2 linked regions of the Tribolium castaneum genome follow. The main gene of each other region encodes a partner of the protein of the gene in region 2 in a complex. Links are inferred from orthologs where the notes say so. Each region holds a gene or a part of one and is shown on either strand. Other genes may lie near its edges.

Region 1 (10,768 bases), on a different chromosome or scaffold from region 2:
CAATTATTATCAGAAGAACAACCACCATAACAAGGGCCAAGATAATTAAAAAGAACATCATTCGATTGGCGCCGGGTTGTTCGCTGGGATCGAACACCGCATAAACGAAATAACACATCATTAAATTAATGATGAGAAAAAAAAATACCGGCACGGCTTGCAACGCTGGTAAAGTATCACCATCGCCGCTTGAAATCATGTTAATAAAATACCCGAGGTGGGATCTGATCTGTATTGCGGAAATTAAAAGTTTTAACGAGAAAATTACGTCAATTACAAGAAACACTGTCAAAAAAATTGCAATCAGTTTGATGCTCTTGTACTCAACTATGCGCACTGGAAAACCACCCTTAACGGCGATTCTTTCCTGGGATTCGTCTTCGTCTAGATCAGACATTGTCAAACTTCGGTGTCAAATCAAACAAGTTGTTATTTTACAGGTTTATTAAACATTTTTGCACCTTTGCGCGCCTTCATGATTTTTTCTTTAAGTGACGCTATATCAACTTTCGTGTTAACATTCGGTGATTGCTTCGAGGTTGAGGGCTCCTCAGGTGGGACAAACGCTTCGTTTCTTTTCTCCTCACGTTTCTTCGCAGCCGCAGCGTGTTTTTCATTCTTCTCTTTCTGTTTCTTTTGCCGTTTTTGCTCCTTGTTGAGGAAGTATTCGCCAGAAGCTAGCTCCTTATCGATCTAAAATTTAACAAAGTGTTATTTGTTTCCTACAAAATTTTTGAATTTTTTACCTTGCTTTCAGTTTGTGGGGGCGGGAAGGGCGTGTACGGTTTCTTCTCCTTCTTCTTTTTCGGTTGTTTCCGCTTACTGATATTTTTATTAACAAATCTGGGTAAAAATCGGTCCCAGTTCTCGTTCTTGAGCTTGGGATCCTTCGCTAATTCTTTCTTGATCATCAGAGCTTTGATGTTATAAATAGGATGCATGTTTTTCATGGTATCTTCCACAATCTTCCTGACTTGCTGTAACCCCTTATAAGGCCCCAAAGCCGACACTGTCTGTCCTTGCACCAACACATAACAATTAGTCAGCAATTCAATTGATTTCAACGTACAACCGTTCGGCCCAATTAGCCTCTGTCTTCTCTTAACAAACTTCTCTTTATTCCTTGTAATTTTCCCTATTTTAATGATATCACAACCGACGTCGTCATTCAACACCCGCTTGGCTTGCTCAAAAGGAACACTCCGGGACATTAATTTGATCATGTCTCGAGCTTTGATTATGATATAAGGGTCCCAAGTTTTACGCGTCGTTCTCACAGTCATGCTTCCCTCAACCACGTCCAATTCTGCATTGATGTGGTGCTCTTTTAAAGTCTTTTGCACGAGGGGCCACACTTGGCGCAAATACTGCTCCCGGTATTGGGGAAAAAGCGTCGCGAATGAACTCTCCTCCAGGAGACCATGGGGGTTATCCTCGGGCTTAAACTCCGGGATTTTCATCGCCCAAGCGTTCTCGACGGGACCTGAGGGCGCCTGGGACTCATCGTCGCTAGAATCCGGCATTTTCACTCACAAAAACACCAAAATATGACGAAATGGAAAAAACACGTGCATTAATCTTTTGACAGGTGGCCGATAATACAGGATTCTGTGACTGGAAATAACCCAAAACTCCATGAAGTAACGCTATAAATGATATAATAAAAGGATCTAATCTCTCACATTGTTGTATAATAATAAAAAATGTAATAAATCATGAGATAATTATATAAGCCGATAAAATAATGACGGGCCCTCTGGCGGAATCAGTATCAGACACACTTAAAAACAGCTGTTTGTCAATCACAAATGTTACGTCAAAGGTGTAGTAGGGCAACTAGCTGGTCGACATGGCATTAAATTTGTTTACAAGTATAAAATACGGTAAGTTCTTTATTATAAAGTTACTTGGCAACCAACTGATACATTAATAAACTAAAACCACGACAATGGTCACTACACTTATTTCATAATTTTTTTTTTTGAAAAAACTAATTATTGTTACAATAATCTTGGGATAATTATGTTAGAATTTGCTGGAAGTTACGTTAATTTAATGGTTGTAAGTCATTCTGGTGGTTTTTCACGGATAAATTATGAAATATTGTCCAGAGTGACCTTTGTACCGTGTTTATGTTGCAAAGTGCATATTGTTTTTTTTTTCCAGCTAAATCTTTGAAACCTTTGGCACGATGTTATTCGGACCAGTTTCCCAAAATCACGACCCACTATACCGTTGTGCCGCGAGAAAACGACCCACGATGGAAAGGTAATTATTTCAAAGTACTCACTAATTGACCAGCTTTCATTCAGAGGTGAATATGGAACGGTTCGGGGACGAGACGGATATTTTAATAATCGGGGGAGGTCCTGCGGGGATGTCTGCCGCGATAAGAGCCAAACAATTGGCTGAAAAAGACGGGAAAGAGCTCAGGGTTTGTGTTGTGGAGAAAGCATCTCAAGTAGGAGGTCACATTTTATCAGGAGCTGTTATACAACCAACAGCACTCGATGAATTAATCCCTGATTGGGCGGATAAGGGGGCACCGTTAAAAACCCCAGTAAAGGAAGACAAATTCGGGATTTTAACAGCCACGGGTCGAATCCCTGTTCCGGTACTGCCAGGTACCCCCATGTACAACCACGGGAACTACATCGTGCGGCTGGGGCACGTGGTGCAATGGCTTGGGGAGCAAGCCGAGGCCATGGGTGTTGAAATCTACCCAGGGTACGCAGCTTCGGAAATCCTCTACCATCCCGATGGTAGCGTTAAAGGGGTGGCGACCAACGATGTGGGTATCGCCAAAGATGGGAGCCCTAAAGACAATTTCGAACGAGGCATGGAATTACATGCCAAATGTACCATTTTTGCGGAGGGCTGCCATGGACATTTATCCAAACAAATCATAAACAAATTCAACTTGAGGGCAAACTCCGAGCCACAAACCTACGGTATTGGTTTGAAGGAGATTTGGGAGATTGATCCTTCGAAACACAGTCCTGGCCGCGTTGAGCACTCGATTGGTTGGCCTTTGGATAAATTCACCTACGGTGGAAGCTTCCTCTACCACCTCAATGAAGATACTCCTTTGGTGGCGGTTGGATTTGTTGTCGCCTTGGACTATTCCAACCCTTATTTGAGCCCTTTTAGAGAGTTCCAAAGGTTCAAGCACCACCCTAGCGTCAAACACTACTTCGAGGGAGGTACACGTATTGCCTATGGGGCGCGTGCTTTGAACGAAGGTGGCTTCCAGAGTATTCCCAAACTGACGTTCCCTGGAGGATGTCTCGTTGGGTGTTCGGCCGGCTTCCTCAATGTACCAAAAATCAAAGGCACGCATTATGCCATGAAAAGTGGGATGTTGGCTGCGGAAAGCGCCTACGAAGCCATTAATAGCGAAAAACAAGAAACTGAAGGTTTTGAACCGAAGAGCTATCCAGACAAAGTTAAGAACAGTTTCATTTGGAAAGACTTGAAACGGGTGAGGAACGTACGACCCAGCTTCCATAATCCTTTGGGGATGTATGGAGGAGTGATGTACAGTGGATTTTCCATAATGATTGGGGGGATGGAACCGTGGACTTTCAAACATGGCGATCCCGATTACAAGAGACTCAAACCGGCCAAAGACTGTACACCTATCGATTATCCGAAGCCTGACGGTAAAATCAGCTTCGATCTCCTCTCTTCCGTTGCGCTGACTGGGACCAATCATGAAGGTGACCAACCCCCGCATCTAACCCTGAAGGACGATACCGTTCCTGTTAAGCAAAATTTGGGCATTTATGACGGGCCTGAAGGCCGGTTTTGTCCAGCAGGAGTGTACGAATTCGTCCCGCTTGAAAGTGGGGACGGTCAAAGGCTGCAAATCAACGCCCAGAACTGTATACATTGCAAAACTTGCGATATTAAAGACCCGAGTCAGAACATCAACTGGGTGGTTCCCGAAGGAGGTGGCGGCCCGGCTTACAACGGAATGTAATTAAGTGCCTTTAAGCAAATTGCTTGACTTTTTATGTATATTGATAATAAAATTTTTATAACACTGTTAGTCATACAGCTCGAAGTCTATCCGGTTCGAGGTGTAAAAGTTGGATTGTTCGCCACACTTACGCACCCACACTCCCGTCTTGAAGTACCCTTCTTTGGACCACTTTAACATTTGTGAGGTGTCGTACGGACCCTCGACTTGGTCCTTGTCTTGGTCCCACTTAAATTCCCACATTAACTGCTCTGGTTTACCTGACACTGACGCCGTCTCCATCTTCTCCTTCTCCTTGTCGCCGAAGTCGTCAGCATACATGTCCAGAACAGGCTCACTGTTTTTCGGTTTCGTTCGGTCGTCAATTTTTTTGGTAATTTCTTCAAAAGTCTCCTGGTATACGTTCATGTTCCCCGTCTTCGTTAATATACTATTCGCGATCTCGGTCATGTCCGCCACATCCTGATTCGAATTCAAAGTCCCTGCCTTCTTGCGCTTCAGTCTCTCGACACTGGACAACTTCAAATCGCCCCCTAACCGCCTCAAACACTTGTTGACCGTTTCTTTGGGTTTCATGTAGTTGAGCATCTTTTTGTACAAACCGACCTCATCGAAATCCTCAGCTTCCGACTCAGAATCACTCTCGGCCCCCAAGCCTTTCTCGTTGGGGTCCAACTGGTACTTATCGTCACTGTTGACTTTATGCCAGTCGATGTTGTCCAACCAATTATCCCGTATTTCCTTCTCGTTGTTCCAAATAAAGTGGCCCTCTTTGTCGAAATGCCCTTCTTCCATCTCCTCTTTCATGTTGAAGGCGGTCATCCGGACCCCTTCAACCTGACGCGAAATTCCCTCCTCTTCGCCCTCGATGTCGTCGGCGTTGAGCTCTTCAGCGGTCTCATCGTAATCGTCCTCTTCGTCCGAATCCAAGGAATGTTTTTTTGCGTTAAACTTCACCTGGCGCCGCTTATTTTGCGAAAAATCGCCTTCGTTGAATTTTCGTTTTGACATTTTTGACAAATGCAAAACAAACAACACGCATGCTCTCAAAACCGATCTGCACTTTTGGTTTGTATCCACGGTTAAATTTTTTAATATTTGTTTTTTTTGGAAATAATCATAATCAGCTTTTTTTACCGCAAATTTTTCACCACGCTTATTACTAAAACATAAACAACTCAAAAATATATTGTAAAAAACCCAAAAAGTTAAGAAAAACTGTAAAATTGAAATGGTATGTTTGGCAACTATCCAAGAGATGGCACAAGCTACTTTAAAATTTGTTTATACTGTGTGTTTCAAAAAAGATGTCCTCCAAATACGTGCAAATACGAATTTCTCTTATGCTCTCATTACTTATTAGCAGTCGCATATTTACATAAGGAGAAAATGGGCTATAGCCCAGAACGACAGAATTTTAGAATTTTTTTGTTACAAGCTTTATTTTTTAAATAAATTGCAAACTAAAGGTTCTGATTTTTTATGGTTGAAATAATGAGTTTTAAGATGTTTTTAATAGTTTCAAATTATATTATATTAAATTCACAATAAGTAAACAGAGAACAAGCCTGAGTACCTAATGCAAATATCTACAGAAAAAGTTTTTAAGTCAGCGACAACGTACACGTACAACTAATATTGTAGAAAAAAGTGCAAAATAGCTACGCTTTTTTTTTTAAAACTTCATAAATAAATACAGGCTGATTTTTTAACATATCTCAGAATATAAATGAGAACATTTAATACCTAGTACATGTTTGGTGACATTACTAAGAATTGTTTCAGGTTTTCCCATGTGATTTTCAGAATTATCTTGCATTTTTAGAGAATTTGTGCTAGAACTGAATTTGCTATTTGATTGACTGATTAAAAAAAGTTCAGATATTAAAAAAAATTAATTAATTTTGTATTTTAAGTTTATTAAGTTACACCTAATGCAAGATTGTAGAGCCATAAATACTACAAGCGCGTCAATTAATAATACAGTGAAACTTAGTTACAACGAACACCTAAGTGACTTCCGAATTTGTTTGTTGTAACCGATCGTTCGTTTTAACATATGGAGTAATTTTCAAGATAAATGAGTTCTAAAGTTTAAGATAGATATACGTTATGAAATAAAGTATGATTATATTTTATTAAAAGCTATATAATTACATGAGTTCATAGTTATACATATGTATACCTATAACAAATATTTTATTTATTTAATGATTTGTGTTTGTACTTAACACCTTAGCTGTTTTTAAGGTATGTTTCACTTTTGAAATCATTCTGCAATATCGAAAATGTTTAGACCAGTTTTTTGTCTAAATATTGGACGTTAAAAGCCAGCATTCGTTGTAAGCGAGGTTCAATTATTCGTTAAAACCGAACTGATTTTTTACTATAATATAAAACGGGACTTTCAATTTTGTTTGTTACATTCGAGCGTTCGTAATATTGGCGTTCAAATGTATTTTTATCTGTTGCCGCCCCCGGACACAGCGAAAAGGTTACAAAATGCTTCTTATAGAGGCATTAAATTAGCGTTATCACTTATCATCAAGCGTTGTAAAAGAAGTAATCAGTGAGGGATCCATTAAGCGCGTCTGGTGCTTGAAGACGAATGAGATTACAAAACATTGATTGGTTGTCTCGCCGGCGCATATTGTAGTAATATGGACGCAGACTGCGCGTACCGCCATAAATCGAGGTGATAAACTCTGCAAAGGGCCGTTAAACCCGGTAAAAACTGCGCTGGGGTGGAGGAGCGTCCCGACGGCGGCGATAGTTGCCTCAAGTTCAAGGTTCCGATCAATGAATGGGTTGGATCCGGAGGCCCTGGCAAAGACCAGACAGGTCACTGACTGCTGCAAGGAAATTCATCCAGACACAAATTATTCCAGGAATAAAAATATCATTCGAATGGAATAAGTTTTGAGCAAACTGTTCTCTCGGGTGATTCTAATAAAAGTTATACTCGTTTCGGTTCTGCATATTAAAACGAAATTACAAACAGTGAAGTGTGCTACAGTATCTGCTTCCAATTTCGGGTTACAAGTTTTGTGTGTCTAACGAAACGAGGGTTTTTTATGATGAGTCAAATCTACAGAGTTACAAAACGGTACTTGGTTTTCTATTTTTAGAATACTATAAAGTTTTTACTGCCGGTTTAGACCTTAATGATGATACCTTGGGTAACGTCTTTCACCTTTTTAACGTAAAATTAAAGCCAAAAGTCAGGAGAACAAGCGCAAAAGCGTGAAAAAGCCACAACTCATCCCGTATCAGTTGAAACGAGGATTTTTTTCAAAGACTACGAAAAAAGTTTTAATGTTGCTGACAGTTGGAAAGGTTGAGTTAATTATGCTTTGATATTTCGCCAAAAAAGAGTTCAAGTTAAAACTTTCTTCGCCCACATGACAAATACAATTACGTGTTTATTGTCTTAATTAACATTTTTCCATAAAAAAGCGCTTATCGCAATAATGGACGACGTCTTCCACTTCCCTGTTGTTCTGTTTGTCCGTGCTTTATCAAGTTATACCTCTCTTTATTTACTTAAGGCGTTTTCCCCGTATATTAATAGAGCTGCCACACCGTCAAGTATTTTATCGAAAGCGGGGTAGTAAATTGGTTGAACGCGTTCTGCGGTCAGTCGTTATTATTTTTACGGTATTCGGGCAATTATTAATGGTGGCTGTTGGCAATATTTCGAGGGTGACGTGTGAAACTTCACTTCCTCTCGGACCATAAACTCACATCATTTCTATTTTCCCCTAAAAGTATTGGAAAGGCTGATTTAATAAGTTTTTATTGCGTGTAATTCGGGTTGTTGCAAATTTAATAATGGGAAAATTACGGATCGTTCTATTAAAACTTTAATACAACTGTAATAACTTTTCATATATCATTATCATTAGACGGTAAATGCCGCGGTTTGAGACAATTTTGCTACAGAGTAAGTTCATTGTGTATTTTGATGAGCTTTCCGTGCGGATAAATCACACTGAGATAACTGAATTATATTTCGTCTTTCTCGTGGCTTCATGCACCTCACCCTCGCAGTTTGAACACAATAAATTTTTATTACCTAGTATCATTTTCGTGTACGCGTCCGGTATGAATATTAACACCCTGCAGTAAAATATTCATCGTGTTTGGTTTAATCAAAGAGTGATGTTGGCATTAGGGCCTATCATCAATATTGGAAGCTGCGCACCCATTATCATTATACAGCCCTACAGTATTGCACTAAATGTATCATTAATATATAGCGCAACAGCTCCATCGGCTATAAATTTGCTCGGAGCTTTTAGTCCTTTAAAATATCGTGAAGGAGGGACGATTTTTTGTTAGAATTCAATGGAGCATCCTGTGGACACGTTTCGGCGTCGGTTTTATCGCCATCAGGGTCAACGTCTGAACAGAACCGGAAACATCCATCATCGCAACAAAGTGGTGGACGTGTTCCCATTGATCGACCATAAATTTATCACTGTCCGATTTAAATTATAACATGGCCGCAATCACACACGACGACGATAAATTTTAATCGCTCGTGTAAATTTCGCTTGACAATATTGGTCTCTTGGTAATTTATGTTTTGTGAATAGTGATTTAGCTTGCTCCCGGAGTGCATTTTTACCCGGAAAAAGGACCATCAGTATGCCAACCACCCGATAGATGGCGCACCGATTGCGAAATTTATGTCCCTATCCGGCTTTGTTCCCTCGAAGAAGGATACATCGATAGGCTCAGGCCTCTCAAGCCTTCAATAACGCGGAGTTTAAGATAAACACAAAGAAACTTATTTCTGGCTCTTAAACATTGTCCATTGTCCTAATTAATTGCAGTTTCTTAAAAAGTAATAGCACTAAAGAGATTCATACAGGACTTATAACAAATAGTTCTAAAACTATAAAAATGCAATAAAAGTATAGATTTTTAAATCAGTGTTTTATTAAAATAGTTATTTATTCGACGAGTTTGAGTGTAAATCGGACGTTTTATTTCACGAGTGGTTTTTTAAACCTCGAGTGATAACGAGAGGTTTACCATCCACGAGGTGAAATAAATGAACCGATTTACACGAAAATAAGTTGAATACAACATTTTATTCTTCGAATTAGACTCAACAAAGCTTAAAATTGCTTAAAATCTGTTAAAAATAATCTGACGTTTCGTATTGAGAAATGCCAAACAGTTGTCAAAACTGTCTTACACAGGAGAAAAATCCGAAATTTTGACAGTGTCGAAGAATAAAAACCTTTTCTCAACTTTCTGCCTGATTCAATCCTAGGTAATAAGGAGAGACCGGACTTTTAGAAAGTTAAAATCCTTATGAAAAGACAAAAAAGGTTGTACAAAAACTGAAATTAGGTATTAAAATTTGGTAATTTAAGATAAATTTTTTATTAATTCTTATTACAGAAAAAAACATAATTTTTTTTTCAATAAATTTGATTACATAAATAAACAAGCAACACGAACTAAGTACGTTTTGTCATAAACTTGAATTCATCTATTACACCATAAAATGCTATAAAAAAGTTAATAAACTGTTGTTGAATTTAAATTAATATTGTGCTAAATTTGCTGTTAAAAAATTAGTTGTTTTTCTGAAAGAATTCATCGTAACGTAGAAATTGAACTCATTGTAAGAAAACTTAGTATCTACTAGAACTAAAATCAGGCACCTCTGCATTAACAATAGTTTAAAAAGTTAAATAAAACACTTCATTTATTCATTTTTGCTTTTCAAAAAAAATAAATTGTCAAACGCTCAAGTTAATAACTGAAAAGATATAAAGATTTTTGACCTAATTTAGTACATTTTTGAGTTTTATGAGGAAATCTTGCGAAACAATTGAGTTTTTGCTGAAAAACTTGCAAAATGTTTGAACACAAACTAATTGCGAGAATCACTCTTCATTAAAAACAAATCGATCCACAATTTATCCACGAATTTTGAACCCAAGTATAATAAAAAAACCTGAAATTTTTTTAAAAAACAACGAAATTCCAGTTGGTTTGGCCGAAACTTACAAAGTTTTTTGCCTTTTGAACAGTTGCAATCCCTCCGATATCCAGTAATAAAAGCTTCAATCTTCAATCGTCTTGCAATTTTTTGTGCACCAAATAAACAAGTAGGAAATGATTTCTATATTTTTATTGAACAAATTATTCACTCCAGAAAGAAATAAAGGACGTGGCGAAACACACTTTTTTATTAAATCTATTACCCAAAAACTAAGGATCCTAGAAAAGTAGAACTTTTACACAACTAATTAACATCTACACTGTCGGTTTGTAAAAACTAATAATTAGAGTTATAGTAATTAAAATAAATAAATTTTTAAAATTAAAATTTACAATTTTGCAATTTTGACACATACATGAAAATTGTTTAAATTTAAAAAATAATTTAATATAAAATTAGGTAGAGTATTTATATTTTCAAAAAATTAAATACAAAAACTACTGACAAAGAAACTTTAACGCTGAGAAACTAAAAACACAAAAAATTAGAAAGGAAAATTAAGCGACTGAAAAACTGAGAAACTGAAAAAACTATTGAACTGGAAAAGAGAAATACGTTTGATTCTGAATAAAAAACCAATACACTAAGAAACTGAAAAAAATAATAATTAAAAAACTATGAAACTGCAAAGTAAAAACACTAATAAGATAACATAGTAAAACCAAGAAAAACTGATAAAATTAATAATATGAAATACTATAGAGAAATTAAGAAACTAAAAAGCTAAAACACTGGAAGCCTGAGAAGTGAGAATCAAAGAA
Region 2 (10,974 bases):
ATTTATTTGTATTTTTAACATCTTTGACGTATTTATTATTCAGACATTGTAATTCTGATTTTTTTTAAGAAAAAAAACTGTTAGTTTTTTTAGACATTTTAGGGCTGTAAATTTTTTTGAATAGTGTCATAAATTTTGAGAATTATGCTTTTAATATGCAATTATTTTAATTGAAACAATTCAACTAGATTCCCTAGTTGTATTTTAATTTTTATTTGAGTTTGAAATATCGCATTGTAAGGTCCTGCTGAAAAAACGTTTTATTTGCTGAAAAAAGGATGGGCTCTAATCATCTTAAGTGTTAATGAAAGAAACTGCTTATTTTTGATTATGCTCTTTAATTTTGTGTTTAATCCGTTCGGACTTGATCTAGATTCGCGTTAATTCTCTTATTGTATTTTTCGGCCGTTCTAAATCCTTGAATTCGCAAACCCCCAATTTTTGCATGACCCAATTCGTTCAGTTCTTTGCCGAAGACGCCAAGGATTCGCGGAAACGCCACATGTTGACAAGGGTATTACTCTCAATAAAACCCAACCTTGACACTTTCTTCAATTAACAATTATTACCTTTAATGAACCTCGATGTTATTTTCTTCCGGCCGAAGTCCTTAAACCGGAAACCCCAACAAAAGTTTGATACGTGTCACACTTTTAAAAAAAATACCGACTGACAAGGTTAATTCTCGTGATAAAATTCATTTTTTCGGTTTTGTGTTTTTTGAACCTGAATTAGTCAGAGGGAATGGGTTTGTGTGGTCTTCTTGACCCAATTTGTTTAAATGACCTTAAAATTTACACATTAATCAAGTTTCAAGCAGCAAAGCCAAGGACGGTGGGAGTTTAAGGATTTGCACGCTTTTTGTCAACGCAGACATTGGCAATTTCATTGATAAGACGGAAAATATTGTTACTATTTTGTTATCGGAACCGAAATACGAAACAATCAATTTTCAAACAAACGATGATTGATTAATTGTTTTCTCCAAATATTTGCTACAATTCTGGACGGGTCACTGGATCATCTGATACAACCCGTTGCGTTTTTTATCATTGTAATGAATATTTAACAACATGCACAATAATACGAGTTTCAAGTTACAATGAATTCGTTTATTTTTACTAGTAAAAACAGGAATTGACTTAAATTGTTACGCATATAGTGTTGTTTTCTTGGTAGAGGAAATATTAATCTAATTTTATTCCAGACTTCAAGAGCAACAATTAATGAACCGCTAAAATTGATGTATTTTTATTCTCAAGAGGATAATTGCAAAAATATTCAGGCCATTCCGACGATCGTTCTGTTTTTTAATACAGGTCTGAGCTTGAAATAGTGATAATTTAAAAAATAAATATCTGTGGAGAACAAAATAAATTCTAAAAATTAATCATTATGTCAATACATCGTTAACCGTGGGAATAAAGAGTGGAAACATTTTATTAATTGCTTTCATCGAAGAAAATTCGGCGGCAAGAACCTTCACAATTGATTAAAGATGTGGTCGCACTAATATGCAAATTCCAGGAAAATAGTGCGGAAAATTTAATTTTTTCCCATTTTTTATTGATAATATTTTATTTCAAGGCGATTCGGCTGCTTACACTAATTATTTGTAATTTCACCAATCAGCTTGAATTTTTTTATTAGCAGGAAATTTACACCGAAGGCTATTTACCAACAAACAATGCGAATATTTATAGATCACATATTAATGAAAAAGTACCCACCTACTCTCACATACCTGGAATTTGCGCAATTTCTCAAACAATTTTACACGTTTTTATTTTTAATTGAATCAATTCGCGTGTCCGCACAATTAGTAACATCCTGGAGGGTTTTCGCGAATTGTTTATTTCAATCTTTAATTAGCATTGTTACGTTGTTTTCTCGAAAATGTCATTTTGTTAAGAAACGTGCCGTTGTTGCAATCGGAAAAAGGCATTGCATCAAACTGTTGTGCCAGCGTCTTGCAGAATCGCGTAAAACCACAAATCCTACCTTGTATTTCCTTAATTTCCACTCGACACAGTATCACTTCACACTTTCATGTTGTATCTCTTCGCGCGTTGACATCAACTGATTATGATTTTAAATGATGCCGGCTTTTAATCGGAAGTTGTTGAGTGGCGGAGCGGTCGAATAGTTTGTGTTCAAAGCGTCCTCGAGCAGAGAAAGTGCGAGCTTAAGACGAGCTTGCCGACTGAGGGGGGCACCTGGAGCACCTCGGCGAGGGTGCTCAGGGCATTAGACTGCTAATGCAGATTGGCGTTTCCGTCCGATATAAATCACCATCATTGGGGCTGATTAGCGATTTTATTTAATTTCGCGACGTGGCGAGCTTTCGCAAAATAACAGCAGTGCCATTTCTGGGATTAGAAAGTGCACGGTTCGTTATGTTATGCAAGTGAGGAAAATTAAGTAATAAAAGTACCGCGGAGTTGAGCAACTGCATTATAATTGTGGTATTTTAGAAAAATTGCAGGTGAATATGAACCTTGGTTGCACTTTCCATCAGGGCTAAATTTATTAAGACGGTTATTACGTGACCTATGGCTAAACACAAAAGCGTAAAAATACCCATTTTTATACCACTTAAGCAATTTTATTTTATAAAGGAAGTCGCTGCGATCAGATTGCACGGCAAATGGCAATAACAGTCATCAAATATGTCCTCAAATAATACTTATTAACTAGAAATTACACTTTTTCGATCGTTTGCTCAACTCTAAAGTCTAGGTACTAATTGTTTACTACCAACAATAAAATTCTACTACGACAATTAATTATCTTTGTACGGAGGACGCATTTCCTTTGATATATAGCACTATTAATTAAACCCATTCGATTTTATGATTTCTTTATCTTATTTTCCGGATTTTAGGCCTTCCTGCTGACATTACTCGTAAATAGAGCACCAGCCGTGCTTATTACTATCTCAAATAACACATTTGCCATAAATCTAGGTGAAAGTTTCGTGAATAAATTTACAAGAAAATTGGAATAATTATAAGTTGGATAGGTCTTGGTCAAGGCCGTAATTATTCAACAATTAGCGACTCGTTTAGAATATTTATCTACAACTGGGTCTAGGAACAAAAATAAGTGTTTTAACAATTTTCAAGAAAAGTTAACGAGTGTCTACCAAATTTTATTAGCACTAAATTAGCACCACATTTGCTGTAATTCTTTGGGTTATGTCATTGACCTTCGTCAACAATTTGTTCAGTTAGAATAAAATTTGAGACGATTTTTTTTACACAAATAAATAAGTTCCTATCGCAACTGGGGGTTTCTTCGCATATAAGTCACTAATATCTTCTATCTCCTATTAGTCCTATTGGAAGCTTAATGCACCATATTGCTAAAATCACCTCGAAAATCAACCACTATATTGAAAAAAGCTAAGTAAATTTTAATATCTTAAAAAAATTAATCTATTAAATAAGAGTATCATTGTTGGAATGTCTGTACTATCTAGAGAAGGAAATAGAGGTTTTATTTGATAAAATTTAAATTTTTATTAGTGAAACTTTCAAAAATTTATTTTTATGAATTACTCAATATTTTTGTTGTTTTTTACTTAGTATGCTATCGACTGCGGTATTTATAGTTATCGAGGGATTTTTCTCTCTAAGAAATAATAAGAATAAACGGGCGAATCCCCAAAACAAATTTTATGGTAGAATTAATCAGAAGCGAGTGCAAATTGAGATAATACGAACCTTCTAGGAGAAGTTTCCAGATCTAAAATATTTATTTCTTGAACCGCAATAAGTATACTTTTTTCGTTCTTTACCATAAACACTGTTTTTTTTATATTATGGTGCTTATCGTTTGTTTAAATGCACTTTTTTTTATTCGTGTTGATTTGTTTTAGCAAAGTTGATAATATTATAAATATTTATTAGGTAGGTAGGTGCTCGTATTTGATTTTTTCGCTAAATGGTCAAAAACGATTTATTTCAAATACTATTAAACTTCCTTTAATGTCCACCTCTGAATAACGGACACCTCTCCACAACGGACAATTAAAAATTCCTCATCGATGTCCCTTGGTGAGAGGTTTTACTGTCTTGTCAGTTTTCTGTTTTATTAAGACGTCTTTAATTCGTGAGTTTTTATATCGATGGGTAATGTGAACTTGTCACAACTTTTGGATGTGACTTTAAAAAAACTTCGTTTAATAGGTTTTTTTGTTTTCAATATTTCTTCATTTTTTATTTAGTTAACTTGTTCTACTTTGTTTCACCTTGTATATATTTTTTTTGAACTATGATGTATGTACTATACAACTTTTCCACTATTCTTTGTTTCATAATTCTGGGAATTCTTGTTAATAAAATTCAACATGAAGTAAAATAGTTTTATTTTCAACACAACAAAATTAAGTTTCTACAATAACTGGGGCTTCGTCGTCTTCATCGGAATCCAGATGTTCAAAATCCCACAAAAACGTCGTAGTTAAAGAATTTTTAAATCGAACGACTTTACTTTTAAATTGTCCGTCAACGTTTGATTCATGAATCGACCTAAATAATTTTTTCAAATTAACATAAACAAAATTATCGTTTGAAACAATATCTGCTAAGAATTCTTCCGGTATTTCCTTTATATGTACTTCTAAAACTGTTATAAATAAATCGAATAATTTTCTATATTTTGTAATAGCGGCATCACAGGAACAAAACAAAGTCACTAGTTTTTTCCACTGGTCAAATGCCTCCAAACTGTGGCCTACAAGGAAACAAATGTAGCAGAATTCCAGCTCACCGATGATTTCCGTAGACCTTCAATAAAAATTTAAATTAACATAATGTTACGTTTAATCTAACATTACATACTCAGAATACTGTGACAAAAGTGTTTCAAAAACAAATGTTAAATCAAGGGAATGCTGCGTAATTTCAGAGGGCGAGCTTCCCTCAGGATAGTTCTTTTCAGGGAATTTCGTCAACCTTAACTCCGTCCCTTCGATCGGTTTTAAAGCAGGCAACAAATCAAGTTCTCCACAACCGGACAAATTTTTTATCCCGCTACAAGACGGCTCACTCGCCTCCCCCTTTTTTCTTTTAGCCCCCCTGGGCCGCTCGGCATCGCTGCACGACTGCAGCTCCAAAGCAGCCCTCACTTGCCCACACTGCGGCACCAATTTCCCCAACAAATTTTCTAAAAAAAAACGTCTAAAAACCCCCCAAAAAATTGAATCAGTCTACCGGTGATGCTCCCCACTAAGCTGGCCCACCGCTCCGCAATATCGAACGGATAAGGCCCCAGAAACCCATCAAGAGCCCTCAAATTCTCCTTCAAACTCACGATTTCCGACTCATTGACTTGCTCGTCACTGATTTGCTCATTTACCTTTGACCATTTTTTCACCAGGACTTCGCCCGGTTTAAAATTGTGGAAAAACCCAACTCTGGGGGCCACATCGTCGGTTGTCGCACTAACAGAGTTGTAAAATATGAAGTGCACGCCTGGGGGGATCATTTTAACCCCGCGGAACTTCTCCCCCGTGTTCCAGGATTTGAGGTCGATGCCGAACTCGGTGCCCTCGGGGACCCCCAGGAGGATGAAGAAGGCGCCCTCGGAGAGCAGGCGTCGAGCTGTGGCTTGGTCCATGTGTTTGTTTACGTTTTTGGCAAATTGTCAATTGTGAGGTTAGGATTGTGTCAAGTATTGACACAATTGTCATGTTATGCAACCAGTAATGCCGTCCAAAAAAGTGGGAATTTTGGTTTTGGGCAAAAATAAATAAAACTTCTTCTGTATTACAATATATTTCTTTATATTGCACAACAATATACGCTTTACATTTGGCAACAATTTTACTTTTCTAAATTTTATACAAAAGCTATTATCAAATGATAAAAATAACAATTTTTGCTTAATAAATCGATGTTTCCAAGATTCGTTCGAGAGTATTGTAGATATGTTAATGACTATTTGAAGAAAATATTTTCTTTTTCGCCACCCTATTCAGCAGGTACTTTGAGGGGAATAGAAATGTTTGAATTAATATCCCTGTCGCTAACTGTGGTAATACTCTCTTCGAGATTCGAATCTTTTAGTACTGCTTTTAAGAAATGAAATAAAAAACTGTAGAAAACCCAAAGTCGCAATTAACATTGTTTAGGTAAGGAATAACAGATTCATATTTTACCTGAAACATGTCAATCTATTGTGTTTTGAAATTTTATCATGGTTACAGGAACTTTACTAATATAAAAATAAGTTCATAAAAAAGTCAGACTTTTTGCAGTAAATGTATAGTTAATATAAAATGCACAACTATCAAATTCAAATAAAATTAGCGAAAACATCGACGATATTACACCGAGTAATTAAATTTCACATTTATCTACTGTATAATACGTTCACTCTAAGTTTTATTGCTCGACACTAATTTTATTTGAACGAACGAAACAGTTATGGATATCCACGTTGCACCCCATGAGATACCCCGATGGTTGGGAATGATCCGTGCAATTTACCTACATTTTACATTTATAATAATTTTCATCTAGTTCCATCTACACATTTTCAAGTCACAGTAAGCACAAAAATAACGTTGTATAGATGAAACCAAGAGTTTTACCTGTAACCATGACCCTCTACCAGCTACAAATATATAAATTTGAGCTTTCTGCCGTTCTACTCCAACATTGTCGATGTTGGTGCTACTTCAAATATCATCTGCAGGAAAACAGTCACGCCGTCTGAAAATAAATATTAAAAAAAAAAAACTAACAGTGTGGAGTGGACGCACCCATGAATGGGATCCGCATTTTGTAATGCACAAAGGGGACGTAAAAAACCATCCCACTGAAAATGAACAGCGCTGCATACAGGTACTCAATGGTAGGCTTGTCTACTATAGGAGCTACTATCAGGTAGAAAGAGATCACTAATACCACATACGGAATGATAATTGGCACCTGGAACAAATTGCAAAATCACAAAAAACTAAATCTTGGGTATAAAAAGTACCTTGTAGGGCCTAGGATAGTTGGGCTTAGTGTATCGCATCACAATCAGAGCCAACATCGCGCCCCCGTAGAAAATCCACGCAGTGAAGCTGAAGAAGTCAATCAGCGAGTCGATGGTGCCGTAGAGGACCATAGCGGCGGCAATCAGCGACTAAAACCCAATTCCTTACTCACTTATTTGTGAAAATTGCCAACTCACGTGGAAAATGAGACCCGGAGCTGGAGTATATCTGCGAATGTGGACGTAGGAGAGAATGTCCAAGAGATGGCCTTCGCGACTTGCCGCAAAGCACAGCCGACCAGCGGCGAAAAGAGTGCCGTTTGCGGAACCGAACGTCGAAATGGTGACGGAAAGCGGCATCAGCCAGGCCATTACGCCCAGAAGGCGGTTGCCGAACGTCACGGCCACCGCTTCGCTGGTGATCATCTCCATGGGGGACATCACCGTCAGGTAGGACACGTTGATGAGGGCGTAGCAGATGGTCACCAGCGGGATGCCGATTATGATGCTCATTGGCAAATTACTGAAAACCATTCATGTATTCATGTCCACACTTTGAGTACCGAAATTTTTCTACGGTTTTGTGAACTTTTTTGCCAAGTTTTTAGGTCTGCATTAGCTAATTCCGAGTGCTTTTAACAATTTTTGAATTAAACTATCGCTCAAGTTGATGTATACTTACAAGTATTTTGCCAAATCAAGCCAAAAAATGGATAAGTTTGGATTGTCTGCCTCATTTCAGCTATTTTCGAGCATTTTTAAAATAGACGTATTTGGGTGAAACAAGTTAACTCAGTTAGAAGTGTTACAAAAATTGGCTCTAATCGACGGTTTTTGCCAAAACAAACCAAAAAATTATAATGTTTGGTTTGAAATATTCTATTTCAGTCATTCATATTTTTTTTATTTATTATTATTATTATTATTATTATTATTATTATTATTATTATTATTATTATTATTATTATTATTATTATTATTATTATTATTATTATTTTTATTATTATACCTAAAAAGTAACTCAAAGATGTGTATTTCTTTGAAACGAACCAAGAAAATCGTTGTATTAGATCGGAATTATTCTATTCCATCAACTTCTTTGAAAATTTGACATCACCTTGGGAATTTAGTATTTTCCTGAAGTAAGTCAACAAAACTGTGTTATTTTAGGTCTGATTTCCACTATTTTAGTAATTTCTGGTCGAGTTTATTATTTTTTTGAACTAAATTAAATACAAAAAACGAACGAAATGAGCAAAAAATAGTCGTATTAGGTTTGTATAGTTGTATTCCGCCATTTGCAAGAGACTGTAAGATTTTTTTGGGGCCAGAAACTGTGAAGTTGACGCATTTTTTCGAAACAATATTAGTGTCAATCCTGAATAAACCTGTTTTGACCATTAACATTGTTTGGCCGAACCCAAAAAAATATCGAGTTAAGTATGAATTGCTCTATTTCAATCTTATTCAAGCGAATCGAAACAAAGCAAAAATGATCGTCTTAGGCTTGAATAATTTATGTTTTTCGCGGTCATATTATTTTAAATGAGGTGGAAATAGGGAGTTAATTGAAGAAGTCCAGACTCGTAAAAAATTTATTTAAAGTCGACGTTTCGAGTTTATCTTAACTCTTAATCATGACTCAAAACATTTTTCATAAATTAAAATTGGTAGACTTAGATGCAACTATTAATTTGTTATGAAATTTTTAAGTTACAATTTGATGAACCATGCAGGAATTTTTTTATCACGGACGATTAATCAGTCAATATATTAATTTAAATACTTTATAAATCAGAATATTGGAAGTATTAATCTAAATTTCAGCCATTTTAGGCAAGTTTTGTTCGTATTTATTTTTGTAAAAACATCAACCTTATTTTTCACTAACTTGTTTAATAACAGAAAATAAAGAAATTGTTTTATCCCGAAATCGTCACGAAAATAGAACATTCCTTGGTTACTTTCGTGCCTTGTCCAGAAAATATGTACTTTGCCTAACTCATTTGAAAAACATATAAATTCAAATAACAATTTATTTATTGAACAGTTTTATTTGCTATTAGTTTTCAATATTGACATTAATATTAGGGAAATTAATAGTTGGGAAATTCGTAACTTCTTCAGACGTTAAAAAATTAATGATAATTAGTTTCATTTTAAGCGGTTTCGGGAAAAATCGTATACATGGCACATCAAGAAAGTTCCATTTTCTTGACTTGATAAGTAATATATTATTCTTAGACTGGTAGGTAGCTATGAAAAATGTAATTACCGTGATGGGTTTTTGATTTCCTCGGTGACATAATTGAGATTATTCCAGCCGTCATAGGCCCAGAGCCCCGTATAGAAGGCCGTCGCAATGTTCCCCACGGAGGACCTCGTTCCTCTGAAAGGCTCCCGCAAATGCTGAGTATTACCTTCGAAAAAAACCGATTCTTAATCGTTTCATTCTGAAATGAAAATTTCTTTTTCGGCACTTTTTCCTATCTACTGTACCTTCAAACATCTTGTACGTGCCACCTGCTATAACAATAAGAACGGCGACCAGTTTCGCCGCCGTAAAGACATTCTGGACACTCGTTGCCAGATTGACGCTGTAGCAGTTGACGTAGAGGATAACAACTGGAATCAGAGATGGCGAATTTTGTCACTCTTTGAGCCAACGGGGGATTTACCGACTGTGAGGAGGGCCACCATCTTGACGACGATTTCGGGCGGTTCGCATTCGCTGACGAAAGCCTCGACTGCGTATTTTCCAAAGCTGAGGCAAATGATCGCCATTTGCGAGGGTTTGAGGACGAGGGTGCTGGCCCAGGAGAACAGGAACGCAGGGGGAGCACCGAAAGCGTCCATGAAGTAGGCATATTCCGCCCCGGATGACGTGTTCATAGTGCCCAGTTCGGCGTACGCCAGAGCGCCTGAAATAATCGCAAAGCTCATCTTTGAACCCAAGTACTCCAGACTAATTTTGTGCGTTTTTAATGATCGGCCGAATTTCGCGGAGGCGGGATATGTGGCCCGATTGACGTCAGCACTTCGTCATTTGTATAAATCTCAAGACGAACAGTCGCGTGACTACCAAACAATTCCAAACACACGTCAACTAATTGCAACTTCAAACAATCGGCTAAAAAAACACCGACTTCCGATCCGCGTATTTACATTTCTTACTCACCTAGCAGTGACAAGAGCCCACACGCCATCCATATCACAAAGCTCATCCCGATTGATCCGGTCCTTTCAAGCAGGCCCGACGGGGAAACGAAAATTCCGGAACCTTATTGAAAGAATTAAAAACTTTGACAAGTGTTTTTTTTTCGTAAATTACCTATCATGGTCCCGACAATTAAAGCCACCCCACTGATGAGTCCCACCCGTCTCTTGAGGTGAATAGTGTCATTCTCAACTGCGCCCGGCCCCTCCAGCTGGTCCGGCCCTCCTGCGGCTGAGTCTTCAGAGCCATTGAAGCCGCCGCCGTTTTCAGCGTCGCCCCCGGAGTTGTACCGGAGGTTGCAGCCGTTTCCATTGCATTGGCCGCTGCCTGTCCTGTTGCCACGCCACTGAATGCCATCCTTTGGGGTCGCATTATTGTTTCCTGCAAGGAGGCAACAAGGTGAAAGGGTGGACGGAGGAGGCATCACGCGTGCGAAATCTCGCGTAGACTAATGTAATTTAATTATTATGAAGGCAAAGTCTGAGATGAATCAAATTTGGATTATCTGATATTTATTGGATTGATAAAACAATGAGCTATTTTGTAGGGGTCGAGAAATAATGAAGAGAGAGGAATCACATTCCAAAAATTAATCAATTTTGAGTTTATTTTTCAGTTACTTTCATTTGATTGCTGTTTATTTCTAAAGAAAATAAATGATTCGATTGCGTTCTTTTTCAACAAATTCATCAGTCATCGTATTGTAGACGAAATCGTAAATCAAAACCAGGGAAAAATGACGTTTTTTGACGAAAAAAATTGAAACC

Evidence for each region.
Region 1: protein AAR2 homolog (region 2) and holn1 share a complex: the UniProt entries of both Homo sapiens proteins name them as parts of the U5 snRNP complex. The link is inferred for Tribolium castaneum from reciprocal best matches to the Homo sapiens genes AAR2 and CD2BP2.

Annotation. Positions count from the first base shown.
Region 1 is NC_087402.1:7,509,142-7,519,909, forward strand, and holds holn1 (CD2 antigen cytoplasmic tail-binding protein 2 homolog), read right to left. Parts: upstream 5,032-10,768; 5' UTR 4,994-5,031; coding exon 4,049-4,993; 3' UTR 4,002-4,048; downstream 1-4,001. Other genes in the region: rod outer segment membrane protein 1-like, read right to left, coding at 1-229, 278-397; dbe (KRR1 small subunit processome component homolog), read right to left, coding at 430-693, 747-1,523; Etf-QO (electron transfer flavoprotein-ubiquinone oxidoreductase, mitochondrial), read left to right, coding at 1,850-1,883, 2,167-2,268, 2,313-3,982. UniProt on the Homo sapiens protein: Involved in pre-mRNA splicing as component of the U5 snRNP complex that is involved in spliceosome assembly.
Region 2 is NC_087397.1:5,815,819-5,826,792, reverse strand, and holds protein AAR2 homolog, read right to left. Parts: upstream 5,695-10,974; 5' UTR 5,623-5,694; coding exon 5,217-5,622; intron 5,170-5,216; coding exon 4,845-5,169; intron 4,791-4,844; coding exon 4,388-4,790; 3' UTR 4,353-4,387; downstream 1-4,352. Other genes in the region: sbm (b(0,+)-type amino acid transporter 1), read right to left, coding at 6,655-6,719, 6,770-6,938, 6,991-7,140, 7,189-7,513, 9,266-9,410, 9,490-9,615, 9,669-9,911, 10,169-10,270 and 1 more. UniProt on the Homo sapiens protein: Component of the U5 snRNP complex that is required for spliceosome assembly and for pre-mRNA splicing.